Macaca mulatta: one gene and its partners. The protein of the gene in region 1 interacts with the protein of each later gene in a biochemical or structural test. Links are inferred from orthologs where the notes say so. Each region holds a gene or a part of one and is shown in the gene's direction. Other genes may lie near its edges. The genes, in order: RELN, LRP8 and VLDLR.

The links.
Region 2: the proteins of RELN (region 1) and LRP8 form a complex in vitro, tested with the Homo sapiens proteins (7 studies listed by BioGRID). The link is inferred for Macaca mulatta from reciprocal best matches to the Homo sapiens genes RELN and LRP8.
Region 3: the proteins of RELN (region 1) and VLDLR form a complex in vitro, tested with the Homo sapiens proteins (6 studies listed by BioGRID). The link is inferred for Macaca mulatta from reciprocal best matches to the Homo sapiens genes RELN and VLDLR.

What each region holds. Positions count from the first base shown.
Region 1 is NC_133408.1:143,155,643-143,163,350, reverse strand, and holds part of RELN (reelin), read left to right. Parts: intron 1-2,775; coding exon 2,776-2,916; intron 2,917-3,020; coding exon 3,021-3,198; intron 3,199-6,986; coding exon 6,987-7,071; intron 7,072-7,708. UniProt on the Homo sapiens protein: Extracellular matrix serine protease secreted by pioneer neurons that plays a role in layering of neurons in the cerebral cortex and cerebellum by coordinating cell positioning during neurodevelopment.
Region 2 is NC_133406.1:187,355,903-187,363,610, forward strand, and holds the end of LRP8 (low-density lipoprotein receptor-related protein 8), read left to right. Parts: intron 1-1,933; coding exon 1,934-2,106; intron 2,107-3,237; coding exon 3,238-3,414; intron 3,415-5,746; coding exon 5,747-5,785; 3' UTR 5,786-6,233; downstream 6,234-7,708. UniProt on the Homo sapiens protein: Cell surface receptor for Reelin (RELN) and apolipoprotein E (apoE)-containing ligands. LRP8 participates in transmitting the extracellular Reelin signal to intracellular signaling processes, by binding to DAB1 on its cytoplasmic tail.
Region 3 is NC_133420.1:96,803,362-96,811,069, reverse strand, and holds part of VLDLR (very low-density lipoprotein receptor), read left to right. Parts: intron 1-15; coding exon 16-234; intron 235-1,133; coding exon 1,134-1,252; intron 1,253-1,867; coding exon 1,868-2,007; intron 2,008-2,327; coding exon 2,328-2,469; intron 2,470-4,023; coding exon 4,024-4,170; intron 4,171-5,076; coding exon of another isoform or gene 5,077-5,160; intron 5,161-5,535; coding exon 5,536-5,616; intron 5,617-6,433; coding exon 6,434-6,603; intron 6,604-7,480; coding exon 7,481-7,516; 3' UTR 7,517-7,708. UniProt on the Homo sapiens protein: Multifunctional cell surface receptor that binds VLDL and transports it into cells by endocytosis and therefore plays an important role in energy metabolism.

The sequences.
Region 1 (7,708 bases):
TTTGGATCATTGGAGGATGTTTCTAGGAACTAACGGGTACTATGGGGACTGCTCCCCCCAGGATCCTTTCCTCTCCCTTCCTGTGCTCTGTTCTGAATGGCAGGTTGCGTTTCCCAGCCTCCTACCTCTGCTGTCAGACACTGGCAGGAGAAAGGAGGGGAGAAATAAGGGATAGATCAGGGTGTTCCTCCACCTTCTTTCTGCCTCAGCTGCATCTTGGCCAACTTCTGTGGCTCTGGCTCCCCTGGGTGGCCCTCCAGGTGACCCTGGTCCCTGGGCACCAACAGCAACACTTCCTCCCTGTGTCCCTCTAGTCTTAGACTCATAGTAAGTGGCCTCCTGACTTTGCTAAACTCTGGTTTCCTCGCTGCTTCTACTGGCTTCTCTGATCTGCCACTTTCTATACATCCAATTCCTTGCATTAATTTCTTTCTGTGTTAAGTATTTATAGTGGTTTCTGTTTTCCTGGTGCAAACCTGATCCAGAAATGTACAACCAAGTGGCAAGGGAAAATTCAGGAAGCCAAAACATTTTAGTATTTAGCCTAAAGTAGTTTCCTATGACTGCTAAAGCTTTAAATAGTGCTTAGTTGTAGCTCATTTACTCATTTTTTTTAATTCAACAAACACTTATTGAATATCTACAGTGTTTTAAGCACTCTGGTACTAAATGAATAAGCTGATGCCGGGATCCAAATATATTAAAGTCATGCATCACTTAACGATGGTGATACATCTGAGAAATGCATTGTTAGGCAATTCCATTGTTGTGTGAACAGCATAGAGTGAACTTACATAAACCTTCATGGTTTAGCCCATTACACACCTATGCTGTATGATATAACCTATTGCTCCTCAGCTACAAAGCTGTACAGCATTTTACTATACTAAATACTGTAAGCAATTGTAACATAATTCCAAGTGTTTGTATCTCTAAACATAGGAAACGTACAATAAAAATATGGTATAAAAGATTAAAAACTGGTACACTTGTACAGGGTATTTCCCATAAACAGAGCTTACAGGACTGGAAGTTGCTCTGGGTGAGTCAGTGAGTGAGTGGTGAGTGAATGTGAAGGCCTAGAATATTACTGTACACTACTATAGACTTCATAAACACTATGCACTTAGGCTCCACTAAATTTTAAAAAAGAATATTTTCTTTCTTCAATAATAAATTCACCTTACTATAACTTTTTCATTTTATAAACTTTTCTTAAACTTTTAGACTCTTTTGTGATAATACTTAGCTTAAAACACAAGCACATTGTACATCTGTACAAAAATGTTTTCTTTCTATATTCTATAAGCTTTTAATATTTTGAGAACTTTAACTTTTAAAACTTCTTTCTTAAAAACTAAGACACAAAAACACACATTATTAGCCTTGGCATACACAAGGTCAGAATCATCAAGATGTCAATCGACAATAAGAATTTTTTTCAGCTCCATTATAATCTTATGAGACCACTGTCATAAACGCAGTCCATCATCGACAGAAACGTCGTTACGCGGCACATCACTGTATTTAGGATAACAAACCTCTAAGCAGCTATTTATGCTATGAGATGATACCAGAGGAAGTACTCAGAGATATTATCGAAACACAGGAGCATACTACCTAACTCATTGGGGGAGAACTGGAGGGAGCTTTCTAAAGGAGTTGATGTCTCAGCTGCCTCTGAGTAGGGCTTATCCAGGAGAAGAGGGGAGCGAGAGGGCACTTGTGCTGGCGTAAGCCAAAACAAAATCCAGGAAGCCAGAAAAAGCATGAGTGGATGGGAAAATTCAAGGGTTCAGTGTTGCCAGAATATAATTGCAAGGTGAGAAGTAGGAGGTCTGGAGCCAGGAAAGAGGGCAGACAATGGAGGAACCATGTATGTCGTCATAAGTAGTTTGGTCTTGACAGTGCACGTGTAGGGGAACCACTGACAGGTGTTAAACAGTGGTGCTGTGATGAGGTTTCCATGTTAAAGCCACCATGCCGACAGCTGTGTCACATCCACAGAGAGTTTGTGTAGGGGAAACAGTACTACTTAGAATGGTGCTGCTGAAATTCTACTTCAAGTAGACTGTGTTCCACATTCCACATCATAGACAAACACACTCCTATGCAAACTTTTCCTAAGTCAGGGGCTGTTACTGTTGTTTGGTAAGTCTGCATCTCTTTCTGGATAAAGCAGTCTTGTGACCCAAGATACACCAAATAACAGACTGCAAATAAATAGAAAATATGAGAATGCATCACATCATTCTAGACCTCAGCTTTAGAAACCCAGGACCTCGAGAACCAAAGTGGAGTGCAGAAGTATCAAGGGCTTCCATTTACTCTCAGAAACCATTCCGGGACAGTAAAATAGAGACCTCACTGCCAGAATTTTGTAAGACTCCAACTTTTCCTCATGTTTATCACCTTCAGTCCCTCCCAGTACTGAATAGCAATAAGAGTCTGAAAGCAAAAACTAAAATTCTGCATATATTTCAAAAACAAAACAAGTGGATATTTCAAAATAACTTTTCCATTTCACACATGTGTTTGTAGAATCTTACATGAGAAAAAAAAAGTGAAATATATAAATAACATGCTTTCTACTCTCCTGTTGATGAGTCAAGAGAAAACAGCATTTCCTACTACTTAGTAGGAAGATAAAGTGCGTCAAGGAAGAGACAACTGGACTCTGGAGGAGGGCACTTTAAAGAGAAAAGGGAATTAAAATAAATGTCCTTGTGCTTTCAAGGTTGCTCGTCAAACCAATGGTGTGTTTTCTTTGGTTAGTTCTCCCAGGACCCGGTTCAGATGGATTCAGGCCAACTACACTGTGGGGGCTGATTCCTGGGCGATTGATAATGTTGTACTGGCCTCAGGGTGCCCTTGGATGTGCTCAGGACGAGGGATTTGTGATGCTGGACACTGTGTGTAAGTTAATAAAACTGGCAGTTTCTTTCTTTTCTAACGCAAAAATAAATATGGCTCTTTGAACTCGTGACAAATGTCTTTTCTCCACTCCCTCTCTTTCTTAGGTGTGACCGGGGCTTTGGTGGACCCTATTGTGTTCCTGTTGTTCCTCTGCCCTCGATTCTTAAAGACGATTTCAATGGGAACTTGCATCCTGACCTTTGGCCTGAAGTGTATGGTGCAGAGAGGGGGAATCTGAATGGTGAAACCATCAAATCTGGAACATCTCTAATTTTTAAAGGGGTCAGATACAGATAAGATTCTCCTTCCCAACATTACTACTAACATTGTCGTCTTCAGTCACTGCTCAACACAAATGCATTTCTGAATCTCTTCAAATGACATAATATTTAATGCATAGTTATTGACTTTTAGCCCAAACCCTGTTTCCTCTTCTGAGTGCAGTCACTTTTTCATGATCACTTGGGCATAAACTTCTTCCTCTGCTTTGGTGATCAGACCTTCCTTACTTCCTGCTGGAATTATATACATAAATTTATATGTATATAGTTTTTAGAATGTAAATTTCCATAATCTAAGATTTAATGTTACTAAATATTTAACTTGGAATATTTTCTGAATGACTTTATGAACAGTCTGTAGTTTTTCTTTTCTCTTTTCTTCTGCCCATAGAACCATTTGGTGACTTTAAGAAAACCAAATATTTGGCCGGGCGCGGTGGCTCACGCCTGTAATCCCAGCACTTTGGGAGGCCAAGGCGGGCAGATCACGAGGTCAGGAGATGGAGACCATCCTGGCTAACATGGTGAAACCCCGTCTCCACTAAAAATACAAAAAATTTGCCGGGCGTGGTGACAGGCACTTGTAGTCCCAACTACTCGGGAGGCTGAGGCAGGAGAATGGCGTGAACCCGGGAGGTGGAGGTTACAGTGAGCCAACGTCACACCACTGCACTCTAGCCTGGGTGACAGAGTGAGACTCCGTCTCAAAAAAAAAAAAAAAAAAAGAAAAGAAAACCAAATATTTAAGTCAAATAAAATAGCATTTTCAAACATCATCTTGTATTTCAGCCTAGATGTTCGGTTAGAGAGATGTTAAGCAATTATGTGACACTCTGTGCTAAGCTGGCACATCTTCATATGTGAATACATGCCACACCCATCTCTCTCAGCATGGGGAAATTGGCTAACCTAGGTGTGCAAATGAAGTCTTTGACAAAAACCTGCATGGGTTTCTGTACAACCCTAATGATTAACATCTAACACCTAGAAAATTAGATACCCTGGAACCTTTTCAATTATAGTTAATAGATGCCAGTTATCATCCTTGCTTGAATCCAAATTCTTCTCAAGTTTTGGATGAGAAAGAAAGCAATGCATAGTGCCTGAGAAAGATTTACAAGTCCCTGAGAGTTTTGAGGGACTGAAGAAATTGAGGTAGAACATTTCAGAGTGGAGACTCCTGGTTTTGGGAGCAGCAGGATTTGTTTTGTTTTGTCTTAACTAAGATATTAGTTCTCGTTACCACTAGCTCACATCTGACCCATTTGAATCAGTTGACAAGACTAAAAAGCAGAAGTCCTATAACTTTTTGTGATTGACAGATCTTTATCTGATAAATCTTTAAGTGGTAGAATTAACCTAGTCTTTTGATCCTCTAAACAAGGAAGATGCATGGTGTTTTGTATTTTCCCTTTAGCCATCCAAATGCAAGAGCAGCCAAGCATTGTATGTGTTAGACGTATTATCTATCAGCTCTGCAAGATGTAGAGAGGACGCAGCATGGGCCATTCAGTAGATTGCAGTGTGACCTAGAAAGTCATTCTTTCGCGAAAAAGGATATGATAGTCTCTTTTTAATGTTTACAGATTCAGGAATACTATCTACTATTAAAATAGCTTGTTTGTTACGAAAGAATTTCTCACATTTAGCACAAATGGATCACTGAACCTGAAAAAGGATGAGAAAACACATCTGTGTGAACTAGAATGTATGTGGCAGCAGAGTTTGACAGTTCTGCTGTATAAATATCAATACAAAATGCTAACCTATAAACAAATATTGCAAATATAAAAGAAAGATACTTTCAGTTTACAAATCATGCCCACTTTCAATAAAATTGCTCCTACAAAATACAGAGTAAAATAGGTCCCTTTATGAGTGTCTTGTATTGACGCATGGGAACAATTTTATACTTGCATTCCATAATCAAGGGGAAAGAGTAATCCTATTTCTATATTTTGATGTTAGCAAGGGATATTTATTCCCTGAATCTGTCAACTATCTACCTCAAAGCTTTTTCATTACAATCTGAAGAAGGGACCTTTCCTCTGAACCTCAACTTCCACATAGCATTGAGCTCTAAAAGAATCCAACACTTAGCCAGGCACAGTGGTGCACATCTCTAGTCCCAGCTACAGTGGGGGCTGAGGTGGGAGGATCATTTGAGGCCAGGAGTTCGAGTCTCTAGTGAGCTATGATAACATTTATAAATAGCCACTGGGAAACAGAGCAAGACTCTGTCTCTTAAAAAAAAACAAAATCCAAGGCTTTATGCAAGTGTATAAGGAAGAGGGTAAAGACATTAAGACATGAAGAAATGAAGAAGACGCATGGGTTAGGGATCATGGACTGAGCAGAGCAGTGAATTACTAGGCATAAAAGAAAAAACAAAGACTAGAAATATGAGGCTTTTACATGGCAACCTGTTGTGGAAGTATGAATCTGTGCTTTGTGAAGTTATGAGATAGGTTAAATGCACTTGCGTTTTTATTACAACATCAAATAATTTTCAAATTCTACCTTTGGCATTATCTGGATATTTTTCTCCCCAAACCAAAAGATAGTTTAATAAACAAAACACTGGTATCTTATAAAGGATAAACATTTTAGAATATGACATATCTGGGTTCAAATCCTACCATCACCACTTACAAACTATGTAATCTTGAGGAAGTTACTTTCCCTCCCTGAGTTTTAGTTTCCTTATCTGCAACATGAGAATAACATTTTTCTCTTAGTAGTGCTAGGTGCTTTAAATGAGTAAAGTGTCTATCTTAGCACCCAGCATGTATAGGCACTCAACATATGGTTGCTATTGTGGAATTTGCTCTACTTACATTTTTTTTTCAGCTATTGAGCAATGTGATCTATAATATATATGATGAAGAAGAGGAAAAATGTTCTCTTTTAGCTAAAATTACATTTGGCATTTGTTAGTTGATGAGAAATCAGTTGATAGTGTCCACTTATTATCACACAGCCATGCATCTGTTAAGAGTCACGTCATTCAGAAGTTGCAGCTGAAAAACTAAAAGACCTGTTTGGACCTTAGGCTATTTGCATAGTGAAATTCTGTTTTACTGGCTGTCACTGCAATCCTATGTACCCATGAAGAAAAGAACCTTTCGAGTTGTCAATCCTAGGCAACCAGAAGTAGTTAAATTAGCAGAAAAAATTATGAAAGCTAATGTGGTCTCTTTCCTTGTTCATTGACTTCTCTGCATGAATGCTTACAGCCTGAGCATCAGGCCTTGTCTTAGTTATGCCTTATTTAACTTGACCCACTGAGGGGTGGTGGTGTGTCCACCTGAATGAGAGCCCCTGGGGCTATCAGAGTGAGCAAAGGAGTAGTAAGTTCCTAAGACTCCTTGGAACCCTGAGAAAGTTACCTATTAGTTCCCATCTTCCAGCGGGAGCACTTGGCACATATTCCATCTGCTTCCTCGTTACTCCTCTCATAACATGCTGTGATCAAAGGAGTCTATTTTTTTAAAAGGCCTGTAGATATGGAATGCTATCATTTTTGCACCACTTTTTAGAAGAGTCACAGAAAAGTATGATTTAGAGTTGAAACAATGAAACTGTGTCATTCAGGCACAGGATATGAAGCCATTTAGAGAGGGGAAACAAGGATCATCCCATATTTCCTTTTAAACTAGGCAAAATTTGCTTCTTAATCATGATATGTATTTATTACTCGGCTAATGCAAGTTAGGTGTATAAAATCAAAGGGACACAATTTTGCAAGTGAAAAAAAGAGTTGCTTAACATATATGTTTTTATTTTCAGGAAGGAATAAGGATGCTTATTTCAAGAGATCTGGATTGTGCAAATACGATGTATGTCCAGTTTTCACTTAGATTTATAGCAAAAGGTAAGTACGAATTCATTATTTTCCTTCAAGAGAATTCTCCCCTGTACAATTCCTTTTCCACAAAAAATCACAGATTTAAGGCCCATAAGTTTTGTTATATGGAAGAGCTAACATACATTGGTACACATAAATGTTTACAAGTATTTTTCTTTAAGTTTATTTTAATATAAGGGGGGGAATACTGATTTTAAATAATTTCATATAGCTATAATCCTATTAGTTCTATGGTAGTTAAATTTATCATCATGCCCCTGAGTCTTTCCACCACTACTTTCTAACTAAAAGAAATCTAAATTTTAAAATGTTTAACTTGTGAAAAATGTGGTTTTTCTTTTACAGATATGAATCCAAAAAAAAGCCTATTCTTAGTCATTGACTTTTCATATTAACTAAATGATTTTCTTGAACAAATTGATGGTAGATATAATACATATTCAAGTAGTTTTTCTGTTTATATCCTGAGATTTAAATGTTTGACCCTTTGTAAAACCGTGATGCCTGTAGAATCAAAATGTTTTGATGTAAAGTTTCCTAAATACAGAAAGATGTCTGTGCATATCTCAGAGAAAAAGAGAGGTATTATTGTGTGCACATCCAAGGTTTGGTGTGTATTTTGAGATATACAGAAAGCCCAACC
Region 2 (7,708 bases), on another chromosome or scaffold:
AATATACATTTTTATTATATTAAAGCTTCCCAGCCAGAAATGTGGCATATCTATTTATTTCAGTCTTCTTTTATGTCCTTCAGCAGAACTTTATAGATCACATAGGACTTGCATATTTCTTCTTAGATTTTCCTAGGTATTTTATATTTTATAGCTTTTTGATGGGCTATTATGAATTTATTTTTATTCCATTACATGTTCTTTCTCTTTTTTTTTTTTTTTTTTTTTTTTTTTTTTTTTAAGAGACAAGAAGATCTTGCACTCTTGCCCAGGCTGGAGTGCAATGGTGCAATCACAGTTCACTGCATCCTTGAACTCCTGGGCTCAAGGGATTCTCCCACATCAGCATCCCGAGTAGCTGGGACTAGAGTAGCTGGGACTACAGGCATGCACCACCACACCTGGCTAATTTTTTAAATTATTTTTTTTTGTAAAGACCAGGGCTCACTCACCATCTTGCCCAGGCTGGTCTTGAACTCCTGGGTTCAAGCAATCTTCCTGCCTCAGCCTCCCAAAATGTTGGTATTACATGTGTAAGCCACCATGTCTGGCCTTCGTTACATTTTCCAATTGGTTCTTGCTGATTAAAAAAGAAGGTAATGATCTTTTATGTTGATTCTTGATTAACTAAGATTATTTCTGATAGTTTTTCACCAGGTTCAGAGTTCCTAAAAATATAAATAGCTGTTAATAAGAGTTTGGTTTCCTCCTTTCTCTTATTTATTTATTTATTTATTTATTTATTTATTTTGAGATAAGGTCTCCCTCTGTTGCCCAGGCTGGAGTGCAGTGGCACTACTGTGGCTCACTGCAGTCTCGACCTCCCAGGTTCAAGCAATCCTCCCACCTCAGCCTTCTGAGTAGCTGGGACTACAGGTGCCCACCACCATGCCCAGCTACTTTATATTTTTTGTAGAAATGGGTTTTCACCATGTTGGCCAGGCCTGTCTCGAACTCCTGGCCTCAAGTAATCTGCCTGCCTCAGCCTCCCAAAGTGTTGGGATTACAGGTGTGAGCCACTGTACCTGGCCTCCTTTCCCATATTTATACTCTTAAATGTTTTTCTGGCCTTACTGCATAGCTAGATCTCTAGGACAATAAATATTACCAGTGGTAACTGCCTTGTTTCTGTCTTTAGTGCATATCAATTATTGTAATCTTACTAAAACGGAAACCCCTTCTATACCATCCTAGATAGGTGATCATTCAGCCTCCATTGGGATACTGAGTGACTGCTAACCACCTTACGAGCTACTTGCTCCATTTTTACCCAGCTCTGTTGGACAGAGCTTCCTCCTTTAATCATTAACATATTCATTTATTCTAAATCACAGCTTATGTTGCCCTCTGTGTCTCCTTCTAGAGATGTTCTTCTTCAGGTGGAGCCTCACCTTTGGAAATAAACACTGTACCTGGCCCCATCCCACTCTCCACCCCCCAGTTTTGGGAGAGAATGGTTTTCTTAGAGAAATGTAGGGAAGCAGCAGCATTAGGGCAAAGGTGTGGTAAAATTCACTCATTCATTCAGCACGTTACTAGGCACCTACTCAGTGCTAGGAACTGGGCATAAAGAGTTAAAAAAAAAAAAAAAAAAAAAAAGACACAGTCCCTGCCTTGAAAGAGCTATCTAGTTGGGAGTACAGATACATAAAGTAAGATACTGTGTGTGATCTGGGAGCACACATGAGAGAGCAACTGCCTCTGCCCACAGTTGGGGAAGACTTCACATTTGAGCAGGATCTTTAAGGATGAATAGTTAATAAGGGAAAGAAGGGATGAGAGATGGGCTTTCAAACAGCAGAAAAAGAACATGCAGAAACAGAGCCTGAGGAGCAAGGGGCAGGAAAGGTGGAGTGGTGACAAGCCTTGCACTGATGTCTGAGCAGTGGGCTGGAGCCTGCTGGAGGTCCAATCTCCTGTGTCCTTCCTCCAGTGGTGATAGCCCTGCTGTGCATGAGTGGATACCTGATCTGGAGAAACTGGAAGCGGAAGAACACCAAAAGCATGAATTTTGACAACCCAGTCTACAGGAAAACAACAGAAGAAGAAGATGAAGATGAGCTCCATATAGGGAGGACTGCTCAGATTGGCCATGTCTATCCTGCAGTAAGTATTTCTCACTGGGAGAATTCCTACCTTCTGACCATCTTCCCTTCCATCCTTTCTTCTCCTCCCATCCTTTCTTCCTTCCCATCCTTTCTTCCCTCCCTTCCTTCCTTCTGTCCTTCCCTCCCTCCCTTCCTTCCTTCTGTCCTTCCCTCCCTCCCTGTCTTTTTTCTTTCCTTCTTTCCTTCCTTTCCTCCCTCCTTCCCTTCCTCCTTCCTCCCTTCCTGAAACATTTATCGAGAACGTACCATGTATCAGGCACTGTTCTAGGCCCTGGGGAACACAGAAATGCTGGGGTAGGTGGTTAAGGTAAAAAGGTATCAGGACCACCTTGTACCTAGAGGCTTTTCCTGGCAGTAAAAAAGCCAAATGTCTCTTTCTGCTCAGTAAATTTTCAGAACCTTTGGCCTGGAAGGGTAACTGTGGCCATTTAATTCAAATGTATTCATTTCAATACTGTATGCCAGTTATGTGCCAAGCACATTAGATATCAAGTATTCAAAAGTCAATAAGGAATGTGCTTGCTCCCAAGAAGTTGGTAGGGAGTTAGAGATACTAACATACAGTGGTATAATTGTGTGCTGAGTGCCGTGGTGGAAGCTCAGGAGTCCCCTCTTCTAGAAAGCTATCCTTGGCTTGCTTTGTTCTCCCACAGTCCTCCGGGCCTCTCTGCCTCACAGCCCCTATCACACTGTAGTCCACTTGTCTTTTACTCAGTGGTCTCCTCACTAAACCCTAAGATCCTTGAGGGCAGAACTGTCTGATTAATCTGTTTTCCTGATGTCTAGCACAGTATGGCTGACTCCCAACAAATATTTGTTGAATAGATGCTATGGAAACATCAACAAGGGAGCTATGAATTCTGTCTGGAGAATCAGGCAAGGAATGCCTCACAGAGAAGGTGACAGATGGACTATGTCCTTGAAAGATTAATAGCAGTTTTCCCAGGAGAGAAGGAGGGAAATGGCATTCCAGATAGAGGCATGTGCAAAGGCTTAAAGGCACAACACAGCATGGCTTTTTGGGGGAATGAGGACCATGAAGTGGCACAACAGGTGTCACTGTTATACAGCAGAGTCAGGGGGCTGAGTGTGACCTCAGAGGTCATCCACAGTGCCATCCCCCTGTCAGGCAATCAGCAGCTTTGATCGCCCACTGTGGGCAGAGCCCTGTCTTGGGGAGACCAGAGAACTGGAAGACCCAGCCCCTGCCCTCAAGGAGCTTTTTGTCTTGCCGGGGGAACCAAGGTCACAGCTGCACCAACTCCCGAGGAACCCTCTTTCCGAGCTGCCTGTCGTCAAGTCCAAGGTAGGGCAGTGCCACTCTAAGTCTGAGGGGCTGGTGAGTGAGGGCATGAACCAAGGCAGGCGCAGCCAATCCTAGAAGGCTTTCTGGTTTGGGAAGGCTGCAAATTGTAAGCTGGGTGTTGGAGCAAAGAAGAAAAATGGGTTAGTCACAGACCAATGAATGGCATGTGGAAGAAAGCGATCAAGTTTGGAGCAGAGCAGACAGAATTGCTGCTGAGGCAAATTGTTCATGAAGGGGAGACATGGGAAATGAGATGGAGCAAATGAGGAGGGTTAGCAGACGGCCTTGAGGATCCTTAACCTCGGCCAGTCCAAAAAAAATAGTTGCTTGACCAATTTTTGAAGATCAGAGGGGGCACAGTGGAAGAAGCACTGAACTTGGAGTAAGAAAATTCCCAGTTCCATCCTTCCACAGCCCTGTGATCTCAGTCACTTCTTTCTGCTCACTGTTATTTGTAAAATGAGAATAATAACCCGCATTCTACCTGCCTCCTGAGTTTATAAAGTACAAGTGAGATAGCACATGTGAGAGCACTTTGTGACTTACAAAGCACTCTGCACATGTAAAATGACATTATTTCCAGAGAAAGAAATGACTCAGGGGGAGTTACTCCTGATGAGTCTAAGGACTGAGTAATAAGCTTCTGCCAGTTGCAGAGAAATAGAGTAGTAGAATGAGGAAATCAACATTTATTGAGCACCTACTGTGTGTCAGACACTGTTCTCAGTGTTTTACATACATTATCTCATTTAATCTTCAAAATAACCTTATCAAGCCAATATTATTAGCCCCATTTTGCAGATGAGGAAACTGAGACTCATAGAAATTGAATAACTTGCCTAAGGTCATAGCCAGGAAGTGGCAGAACCAGAATTCAAACTCCAGTCTGTATATACACAAAAGCCCATGCTCTTTCCTTTATATCATGAGGTAAATAGCCTTGAAGCTCTGGAAATCAATATTCTCAACAACCTGTCTCTCCTCTGTCGATTTCTCCGGTAACTGTACCATCACTACTGGGGCCTATCTTTGGCCTAGAGATCTGTCTTGGAGAGAGTGGGAGGGTGGCTGGACTAGAATAAGGTAGTCTCAATTATCTACACTAGTGGAGGATGGCCATTGCATTCATTAAAAAACTACAGATAACCCAAAGATGACTTGAAAGGCAGTAGAGTTACTTTTTATCATATGTAGAATGTCCAGAGATGGGAGATACTAGTCTGATTCTATTTTATGCTGGTTACGTTGACCTAGGATACTCTGGGCCCTATGTGTTGTTAGGTACTACATTAAACACTCTCCATGCATTATCTCATTTGATTCCTCAACAACCCTGTGAGGTAGGTCCTATTACTATTCCCATTTGATAGATGATAAAACTAAGTCTCAGAGAAGTAAACTGGCGGGCCCGAATTCACATAACTATAAGAAAAATACTGAAGCTGGGGAGGGTCTTTCCAAAGGAGGGTATCTGGGAAATGGAAAAGAGGCAAACAAGATTACATCAGGACTAGATGGGGAAAGTTAGATGTTATCCTGGAGAAGAAAACACTCAGAATGAAGGGAAGGGAATTCAAACACCATCTATAAATTTCAAGGGTTGTCCTATGTAGAACTGTCTCTGAGTCTGAGAGATGGAATCAGGGAATGTCAGAAGATATAAACAAACAAATTTCACATTAATATAGAAAAGAATTTAAATCTGTTGTCCACAATGGAATAGACTGGCTCAGGGGTTAGTGGGCTCACCATCTCATGGTCAGCCATTTTTGGCAGACAGGAGTCTAGCATCTACCTAATGACTAGAAAGTAGGGGTGAGGGAGAGAGGGATGGAATTTAATTAACCTGCATTGCCTCCCGATTCTGTTTAATCTGTTGGGAAGGTGCAGTATATTACCTTCCTAAATGTGATTAGCATGCTAGAGACAAGTAACCCCATAGCCTGAAATTTAACATTTGCCAAAGCTAACCCACTGAAATTGACCAAACCTAAAATCCTATAAGGGAGGATTGAGAAAATTTAGATCTGAGCAACTCTTCTTTACAAAGATACAAAACAGAATGATGAAAAAATCTACAGCTTTGGATTCATACAGACCTGGGATCAAATTTTAGTTCAGCCACTTGCTATGTGATCCAGAACAAACCCTACTTAAGCTCATTGAGTTTGTTTTCTCATCTGTAAAATAAATAGGATAAATCTTGTCTCTTGGGAGAGTTTGAAGATTATGTGAGCTAATACCTATTAAAGTAACATAAGTCTGTACTTTGTCAATAATAAATAGTAACTCTTATGGATCTAACGATGAATTCTTTGGTTTGTCTCCCCAGCGAGTGGCATTAAGCCTTGAAGATGATGGACTACCCTGAGGATGGGATCACCCACTTCGTGCCTCATGGAATTCAGTCCCACCCACTACACTCTGGATGGTGTATGACTGGATGAATGGGTTTCTATATATGGGTCTGTGTGAGTGTATGTGTGTGTGTGATTTTTTTTTTAAATTTATGTTGCGGAAAGGTAACCACAAAGTTATGATGAACTGCAAACATCCAAAGGATGTGAGAGTTTTTCTATGTATAATGTTTTATACACTTTTTAACTGGTTGCACTACCCATGAGGAATTCGTGGAATGGCTACTGCTGACTAACATGATGCACATAACCAAATGGGGGCCAATGGCACAGTACCTTACTCATCATTTAAAAAATATATTTACAGAAGATGTTTGGTTGCTGGGGGGACTTTTTTAGGTTTTGGGGGGTTTGTTTTTTGTAAATAAGATGATTATGCTTTGTGGCTATCCATCAACATAAGTAAAAAAAAAAAAAAAAAAAACTTCAACTCCCTCCCCCATTTAGATTATTTATTAACATATTTTAAAAATCAGATGAGTTCTATAAATAATTTAGAGAAGCGAGAGTATTTATTTTTGGCATGTTTGGCCCACCACGCAGACTCTGTGTGTGTATATGTGTGTGTTTATATGTGTATGTGTGTGACAGAAAAATCTGTAGAGAAGAGGCACATCTATGGCTACTGTTCAAATACATAAAGATAAATTTATTTTAACACAGTCCACAAGGGGTATATCTTGTAGTTTTCAGAAAAGCCTTTGGAAATCTGGCTCAGAAAACAGATACCATGGTTTGTGCAATTATGTAGTAAAAAAGGCAATCTTTTCACCTCTGGCCATTCCTGCGACCCCAGGAAGTCAGGAAAAGCCTTTCAGCTCACACATGGCTGCTGTGACTCCTACTGGGGCTTTCTTGGCTTTGGCAAAGGTCAGTGTAGAGATATTCCATGGTACCAGAGTGCTCAGAAACTCAAGATAGAATATGCCTCACCCTCAGCTACTCCTTGTTTTAAAGTTCAGCTCTTTGAGTAACTTCTTCAATTTCTTTCAGGACACTTGGGTTGAATTCAGTAAGTTTCCTCTGAAGCACCCTGAAGGGTGCCATCCTTACAGAGCTAAGTGGAGACATTTCCAGAACAGCCCAAGTTTACTATAGAGACTGGCCCAGGCTCTGAACATCTGGGACATGCTGTGGTTGAGAATAAAGATGGTGGAATAGGTTTTATTACATCTCTTATTTCTCTTTTCCCCTTACTCTCTACCATTTCCTTTATGTGGGGAAACATTTTAAAGTAATAAATAGGTTACTTACCATCATATGTTCATATAGATGAAACTAATTTTTGGCTTAAGTCAGAACAACTGGCCAAAACTGAAGTCATATTTGAGGGGGGAAATGGCATACACAATATTATAGTATATTGGATATTTATATTCACACAGGAATTTGGTTTACTGCTTTGTAAATAAAAGGAAAAACTCTGGGTATATGTATAGATGCTCTTCATTATAGACACCTTCTTTGCTTTTCCTGGCCTTGCGGGAGGAAGGGAGAAGTGCTCTTTTCTATTTGTGGGGTCTCCCATTGGAAACATAATCCTATAGTCCCAGAAGGATTCAGTCCCCACTGGCTTTCCCATCCAAAGAGAAAGAGTTTGAGTTTCTTAACTCTGTTGTTCTGCCACTTACTCCCAGTAGACAACCAGGGACAAGGTGCAACATGGAAGTGTTTGACTTAAGTAGGAGCAGAGGAGATGCATCTAATCTCATCATACCTGGAACTTGACACACTTAACCAAATGCCTTCCCATCCCTACCTGCCAGATGCCCCCAACTCAATGAAGGTTGGATGTCTCACCAGCTTGATACCCTTTGAATTTTCAGTCAGACATTCTGGAGTTCTAGCATCCTGTACCTAGGACCTTCCTCTGCATC
Region 3 (7,708 bases), on another chromosome or scaffold:
CCTATTCTGTTTCAGTGCCTCAATTGATGACAAGGTTGGTAGACATGTTAAAATGATCGACAATGTCTATAATCCTGCAGCCATTGCTGTTGATTGGGTGTACAAGACCATCTACTGGACTGATGCGGCTTCTAAGACTATTTCAGTAGCTACCCTAGATGGAACCAAGAGGAAGTTCCTGTTTAACTCTGATTTGCGAGAGCCTGCCTCCATAGCTGTGGACCCACTGTCTGGGTTTGTACACCGTTTTCTATCACATAGCTTTTTGAATGGTATGTGTGTAGGTCAGGAGCTTTCTCATACCTGAATTAGTACTAAAATCTCAAGGTTTATCAGCCCTCTACAACAAAGAATTAGAATTCTAATTCAAGATATCAGTTTTGCCCCAGTTGAATGACCCTAGGACGGCCTTATCTGTATGACAGGTCCTCCTGTCTGACTCGTATGAGTGATTGCTGGTTGATATTAATGAATTAACATTCCTGATTTGATGTGTGTACCAAAAGCTGTATCTGAACCCTTTTGCCCACCCAGTTTCCATGCAAGTGATTTTTTAGTTTTTGACTGAACACTTTGCTGGGCTAGCTCTGGATGATCAAACCTAAATGACAGTCTGAATTGTGGGGATTTGGGTAACGACATTGCATCTAAGTGTGCAAGTTGTCTGAAAGTCCAGCAGAAATAAACAGACCTTTATAGAAACATTTCACTAAGGGGGTTCCCTAAATTACCACTAAGTAACATAGAAGAGCAGCTTAGGAAATTGACTAAGGCTGTAGTCATCACAACTGCTCCCCCTGCAGCCTCATTAGAAGTCAATCAGCCAACCCCTGCTATGAAATTTAAAGGATATTTGTCTTTCACTCCTCTGAAAGAAGTAACCTTTTAAAAAGGAAACATAACCTTGTGACTTTGGGCCGAAATTTAGATGTCAGACAAACATAGATTATTACAGTTAATAATGAACTTGCAGATTCTTAATATTCAAATTTATTTACCTAGAACAAAATTTAGACCCTTAAGTGTTACTATTTGTCACTAGAGAATCCCTTTTCTGCTTAAATTTTAGTTTCAGGCTACAACTTTATTCCTTCTAAACCACTGAGGCTTATTTCTCATTTAATTCTTCACAGTTTTGTTTACTGGTCAGACTGGGGTGAACCAGCTAAAATAGAAAAAGCAGGAATGAATGGATTTGATAGACGTCCACTGGTGACAGTGGATATCCAGTGGCCTAACGGAATTACACTTGGTATGTATGGTCTTCCTTCTCGATCACCCACTCAACTATCTTCATAGTGTTTCCATTTATCTCCATGGTGAATTCTGGACTAGCAGATGACTCTTCTGCTTCCGCCTAAATTCTAGCAGGAATTTTCAATGGGAGTAACTGAACAACACAAGTAAAATGGTGGATTAGCAAATTACACATTCCGTAACTACTGACCTGTTGTCCAGCTGGGCCTAATATGTGGCACGAACTCAGTGAAGGTTGGGCCTTGGGTGCACTCATACTAAATATTCTGGGCATGAATGCCTTAGCATTTCCTGAATTGCAGGCTTTTAACAGTTTTCTTCTGGCTTTGTGGAGGAGAACAACAAAATGCCAGCCTCTTTTAATATTTTCTGTAATGTGAGTAGTATTTCTTAAGTCATTTACTTTGAGAATCTCAGGTACCCCGTTAGTCCCCAAAAATGAATGTGGATACAGATTCTGCATGCTGCTTTGCCAGGTTTGTGTGACCCCTGTTAAGAAACCCTGCTGGGGAAAGAACCATAAAAGTAGAATATTAATCCATTAGATGTTTTAAATGGAAGCCAGAGTAGTAGTGGCTTGTCATGTAATGACAATTCTTTTCCTACCTAGACCTTATAAAAAGCCGCCTCTATTGGCTTGATTCTAAGTTGCACATGTTATCCAGCGTGGACTTGAATGGCCAAGATCGTAGGATAGTACTAAAGTCTCTGGAGTTCCTAGCTCACCCTCTTGCACTAACAATATTTGAGGTAAGATGTGTCTCACATCAAAGTGTGTATACCTTTCAGCTATTATATCACTTTGAGGAGAAATGACAGACATGGCGGGAGGAGGGAAGAGCAGCTGAGCATGGCTTGAGAAACTGCTTTCACTTAAAACCTGGTACAAATTAGACACTAATTCCCAGAAGCACTTCAAACCTAAACTTGATTCTTTTACAGTTTTATATCTAGTGTCCCAGCTCAGCATTCAATAAACTTAGTCCATTAAATGAGAAGTAAATGATGACCTTAGAAATGGACTTGTGTTAATCCTGGATGTACATGCTAATTGTGGGGTTCTGTTGTAGGATCGTGTCTACTGGATAGATGGGGAAAACGAAGCAGTCTATGGTGCCAATAAATTCACTGGATCAGAGCTAGCCACTCTAGTCAACAACCTTAATGATGCCCAAGACATCATTGTCTATCATGAACTTGTACAGCCATCAGGTACCGTGGAGAAGCACACTCCTTAATAACCACTTTAAGGGAAGCAGCATGACACAGAACCTACTGGATGTCAGTGGCTCTTGGCAACTCCCCTTTCTTTAAAAGGAACGTTTGCCCTCCCGTACCCTACCTCAAACAGTTCACACGTTATTTTTTTATTTCTGCTGCCTTAGAGAAATGGCTTCTCAGCTTCAGCTCCTAGCTTCCCTCCCAAGCCTCAGTGTCAGATCTTTTATTTCTGCTTCATCCATGTCCCCTTGGCCTTCAGCCCCTCTTGCCAAGACTATTGCAGTAGCCTCCAAAGTAGCTTTTGTGCTACAAACTTCCTCTACTGTTAGTTTGCTAGGATTTTTGCAATGAAGTGCCACAAACTGCCTTAAACCACGGAAGTTTATTGTCTCAAAATTCTGGAGGCCAGAAGTCTGAAATCAAGGTGCCAGCAGGGTTGGTGCCTCTTGAGGGCTGTGAGGGAAGGATCTGTTCAGGGCCTCTTTTCGTGGTCTGTTGACAGTGCTTCCGCCTGTGTCTCTTCACATCATCTTCCCTCTGTATATGCTTTTGTCCAGGTTTTTTTTTTTTTTTTTTTTGAGACGGAGTCTCGCTCTGTCGCCCAGGCTGGAGTGCAGTGGCACAATCTCAGCTCACTGCAACCTCCACCTCCTGTGTTCAAGCAATTCTCTTGCTTCAGCCTCCCGAGTTGCTGGGACTACAGGAGTGAGCCACCATGCTCAGCTACATTTTGTATTTTTAGTAGAGATGGGGTTTCACTATGTTCACTATGTTGGCCAGACTGGTCTCAAACTCCTGACCCCATGTAATCTGCCTGCCTTGGCCTCCCAAAGAGCTAGAATTAAAGGCGTGAACTGTAATACCAGTCATATTGAATTAGAGCCCAGCTTAATGACCTCATTTTAACTTGATTACCTCTGTAAATATCCTATCTTCAATATCTCCAAATCAGATCACATTCTGAGGTACTAGGACTTCAATATATGAATTTTAGGAAGGAACACAATTCAACTTGTAACACCTACTTTTTCCCTGTGACACACCTGATATAGGATTGTGTAGAGTCTCAAACACATCAGGTTATATTATGTCCTGCTGAAAACACTTGGCTGGTTCTATCTAAATAAAACCTTCAAACCTTCCTAAGGCTGAGTTTCCTTCCACTTTGTTGGAGCAAGTAAAGAGAAAACCAGGAGAACATGCCTAGTCTCCTTTCTCTGAGCCTTCACACTAAACCTTGGGCCAATAGTGAGAGCCAGTCCTGGTCCCTCACCTCCCTTCCCCACCTTCTCTTTTGAAATCTGTCTCTTAAAGACATAACTTTTACAGTCTGTCTCTAAGAGGTCTCTTATTTGGTGTCCTTAGAGCATGCTGCCTGTACCTTTATACTTATTCTTCCTTGATATTGCTCTCACTTGAAGGATTGCCAGAGTCAACAAGTCTAAGCTCTTGGGGGCAAGGACTCAGGTCTTCAACACGTAGAACAAGGCTTTATATATACTAGGCATTGGAATACCCATTTTAATGGTATTTTTTCCTGACTAGGTAAAAATTGGTGTGAAGAAGACATGGAGAATGGAGGATGTGAATACCTATGCCTGCCAGCACCACAGATTAATGATCACTCTCCAAAATATACCTGTTCCTGTCCCAATGGGTTCAATCTAGAGGAAAATGGCCGAGACTGCCAAAGTAAGGCATTTTGTGTTTCAACTACAAGTAGAACATACAACAAGCAATATAAGACACAAGCTTGGATTTTTAAGAATTCTGTTTTAGCTAATTCTTTGAATAGATTTGAGAAGATATCTGCTATTGTTGTATGCCGGGTTATCATGTCATTTCTTTAGAACTGACTTTAACCCATGTCAACATTAAATGAGTTTATAGGAGACTATAGTGTCAACATACCTTATACTAATTTGTACCAGTTAGTCCCTTAACAGCACGGAGCTAGCCGACTTGCAGGTAATTAAACGAGGCCTTAACATTTTTCCTCAAAAGGAGGAGGACAGAAACTATGCTTAAGGAAGGCCATGGTTACAAAAACCTCATTGCCTCGTGGGTGACGCTTACCTAAAATAACACTTAAGCTGAATTTGCATTTAGTCTTCTGTTCTTAGCTTTTGATTAAGTGGCAAATTAAACTCCTTTGTGTGGCCAAGGAGCTCATATGGTGAGGCTGGTGAGGTTTTTACTAGCATGATTCATGGTCAGGTCACGGCAGGGATTAGCTCAGTTTACCAAGAAATTAGTTGCAAGACAGTCTGGTATGCCTGCTATACCAGAGCATCTTGAAAACATTTCTTGTAATTTCCAGGAACATGGGATATTGTTTAGAGGGATAAAATATGGTTGTCCATCATTTTGAATTGTCAAATTCCAAATACCGACTGTTCTTCCCAAAGTTTCATGGTATCTCTTTTTGCATGAAGATTGCTATTTCAATTTTGACACATCAGCTGTACAACTTAGTTCAGCAGTGGTTTGTCTCTTTTACCTGGTTTTAAAATAACCTTTTGCATGGCTTGTCTGGACAAAAGAGCTAGCCATTCTGGAACCTTGGCATTAACCAGGTTCTTGGTTTTTATAATTCAGGTACTGCAACTACTGTGACTTACAGTGAGACAAAAGATACGAACACAACAGAAATTTCACCAACTAGTGGACTAGTTCCTGGAGGTATCGAGTTCAGTACTGCAAACTGTTAATCTCCACTAACAGCCACACTCTTTGTATCTATAGCTTAAATAATTAATGCAACCTTTAACTACTATTTCTGCCCCAATTGGTAACCTATATTTAAACACCAAAGACTTAAAATTTGCATATCTTTTCCTGACTGATCTTTAAGGTTTCTAGTAGAGAACTGTCAGTGAAATGGCTACTACAGCATGTGACTCAAATACTTCTAGGCCAGAGTTGTTCCTGGTGTTCAATTGTAGTAGATAGTGAACATCAATGTTGGATGCAAAGGTTTTGGCTCCTTACCTGATGGGTAAATCTCTAAATCTTAATACAGACCCTTCTAAACGGATTCCTTTTATTCCTCTGTAGGGATCAATGTGACCACAGCAGTATCAGAGGTCAGTGTTCCCCCAAAAGGGACTTCTGCCGCTTGGGCCATTCTTCCTCTCTGTAAGTAGATTTCCTACAAGTCTGGGTTCAAGAACTACTTAGATACCAGACGAATATTTTTTGTTCATCTGGAGCTACCCTTTTATGCTGTCATAGCACTTATGACACTGAATTATATTCACTTTCTCCCCCACATAGTACACTAAATTAAGGCCCATATCTTTCTCTTCATTTGTGCCGTTGGCACAGTAACTGGCATGATAAATGTTCAACAGTTAATGCTTTCCACTTCAGCACTGTTAGCCTGGCTTGTCCCCTTATAAGTCTCTTTAACTGCTCTTCTGTTCCCCCTTTGAAATGCGTGTAATGTTTTATACAGAGGAGATGCACAAATGCTTAAATGCTTTCTTGAAGAGTTACAGGACTTGTTGAGGGTAAATTAAAAGCAGTTAAGAATTTTCAAACCTATGGAAAAAGGACCTCAAACTATTATGAGACATGCGAATTACAAGGACTTGGCTATAAAAGCCTTTGTCCTAAATTAATAGATTCCAAGCTTAGCTAACACACCAGGAACACCTGAATAGCTCTCCAGAACCTTCTGCAATTTTAATTTGGTGAGCCTAAAGTGGGACCGAGGACCCTGCCCTTGCCTGGATGGATGTGGCTAGCCCAGCTCCAGTGCATAGAACTACCTCTGGACTGAACTTGTTTCAAGCTCCTGGCCCATGTTTATTCCAACTTCTAGTTATCCTAGCTCCATAAAACATAACATTTTTACTAATGTCAATTATTATGGATTCCTGAACATTATTACCTTTCTTGTATGTTCCAATATTAGACTTAACTCACTTAGCTACCCTCTGATTTTTTTCAGTGCTCTTAGTGATGGCAGCAGTAGGTGGCTACTTGATGTGGCGGAATTGGCAACACAAGAACATGAAAAGTATGAACTTTGACAATCCTGTGTACTTGAAAACCACTGAAGAGGACCTCTCCATAGACATCGGTAGACACAGTGCTTCTGTTGGACACACATACCCAGCAGTAAGTCAGCTTTGTGTCTTTATATACCATGGCTTGAAGTGAGACTTTTCAGAAAGGAGACCTAGGCTAGAAAGAGAGCCATTAGAATGATGGAGTTACCAAATACTTCATCTGCCACCTGGACATTAGACAGTGTAGCCTATTAGAACATAAGTCAGTCAGTTGATCAGCATCTAACCCTCACCAAATGGCAAGAGGGTCAACTTAAGGTCACCACTATATTAAGATATTTTTGGTTATAGAAATGACATGTAAATATTAGCATGAACCAAGTAGCTCTTTACTGAACTATTAAATCCATTGCCTACTGGATATTTGAAAGTAAATTAGCATATCCTATATAGGGGAGTTGGCTTAAAGTCAGTGTATTGAGTAAGATTCACTTAGCCAAAATTATGATACACTTTGCTTTAAAAAGTATCCCACCACACTTAGCACACTTAGTATAGCTAGCTTTTCTTCTAGCAGTAGTCATTCACTTGTTCTTCAGATGAAACCCAAGTGGAGTATTTGGCCTTCACGTAGGAAACAGGCTGAAAAAACCAAGTATTGATTGCTCCCCTCTCAAGCTCTGGTGAAACATGGAACAGTGGTCAATTCTTGACACAGATGGCTTTTCACATTTTTCTCCAAGACTTATGATCATTAAGTAGAAGAGGCAGAATCAGTCACACTATCTTATCTCACTACCAAGCAGGTATAGTTGAATTCAAATTAAATGCATGAATGATACAATTCAGTACTCTTTTGTATCTGACTTTTCTTCTGAGCACTCTGTGTTCGAATGACCAACTAAAAAGCAGGGTCCATTTTAAAGACGAGAGTTGCCATCAGTGAGTGATCACCAAGCTCATTCCATACTTCTTCTTTTCCACAGATATCAGTTGTAAGCACAGATGATGATCTAGCTTGACTTCTGTGACAAGTCTTGACCTTTGAGGTCTAAACAAATAATACCCCCGTCGGAACAGTAACCGAGCCAGCAGCTGAAGTCTCTTTCTTCCTCTCGGCTGGAAGAACATCAAGATACCTTTGTGTGGATCAAGCTTGTGTACTTGACCGTTTTTATATTACTTTTGTAAATATTCTTGTCCACATTCTACTT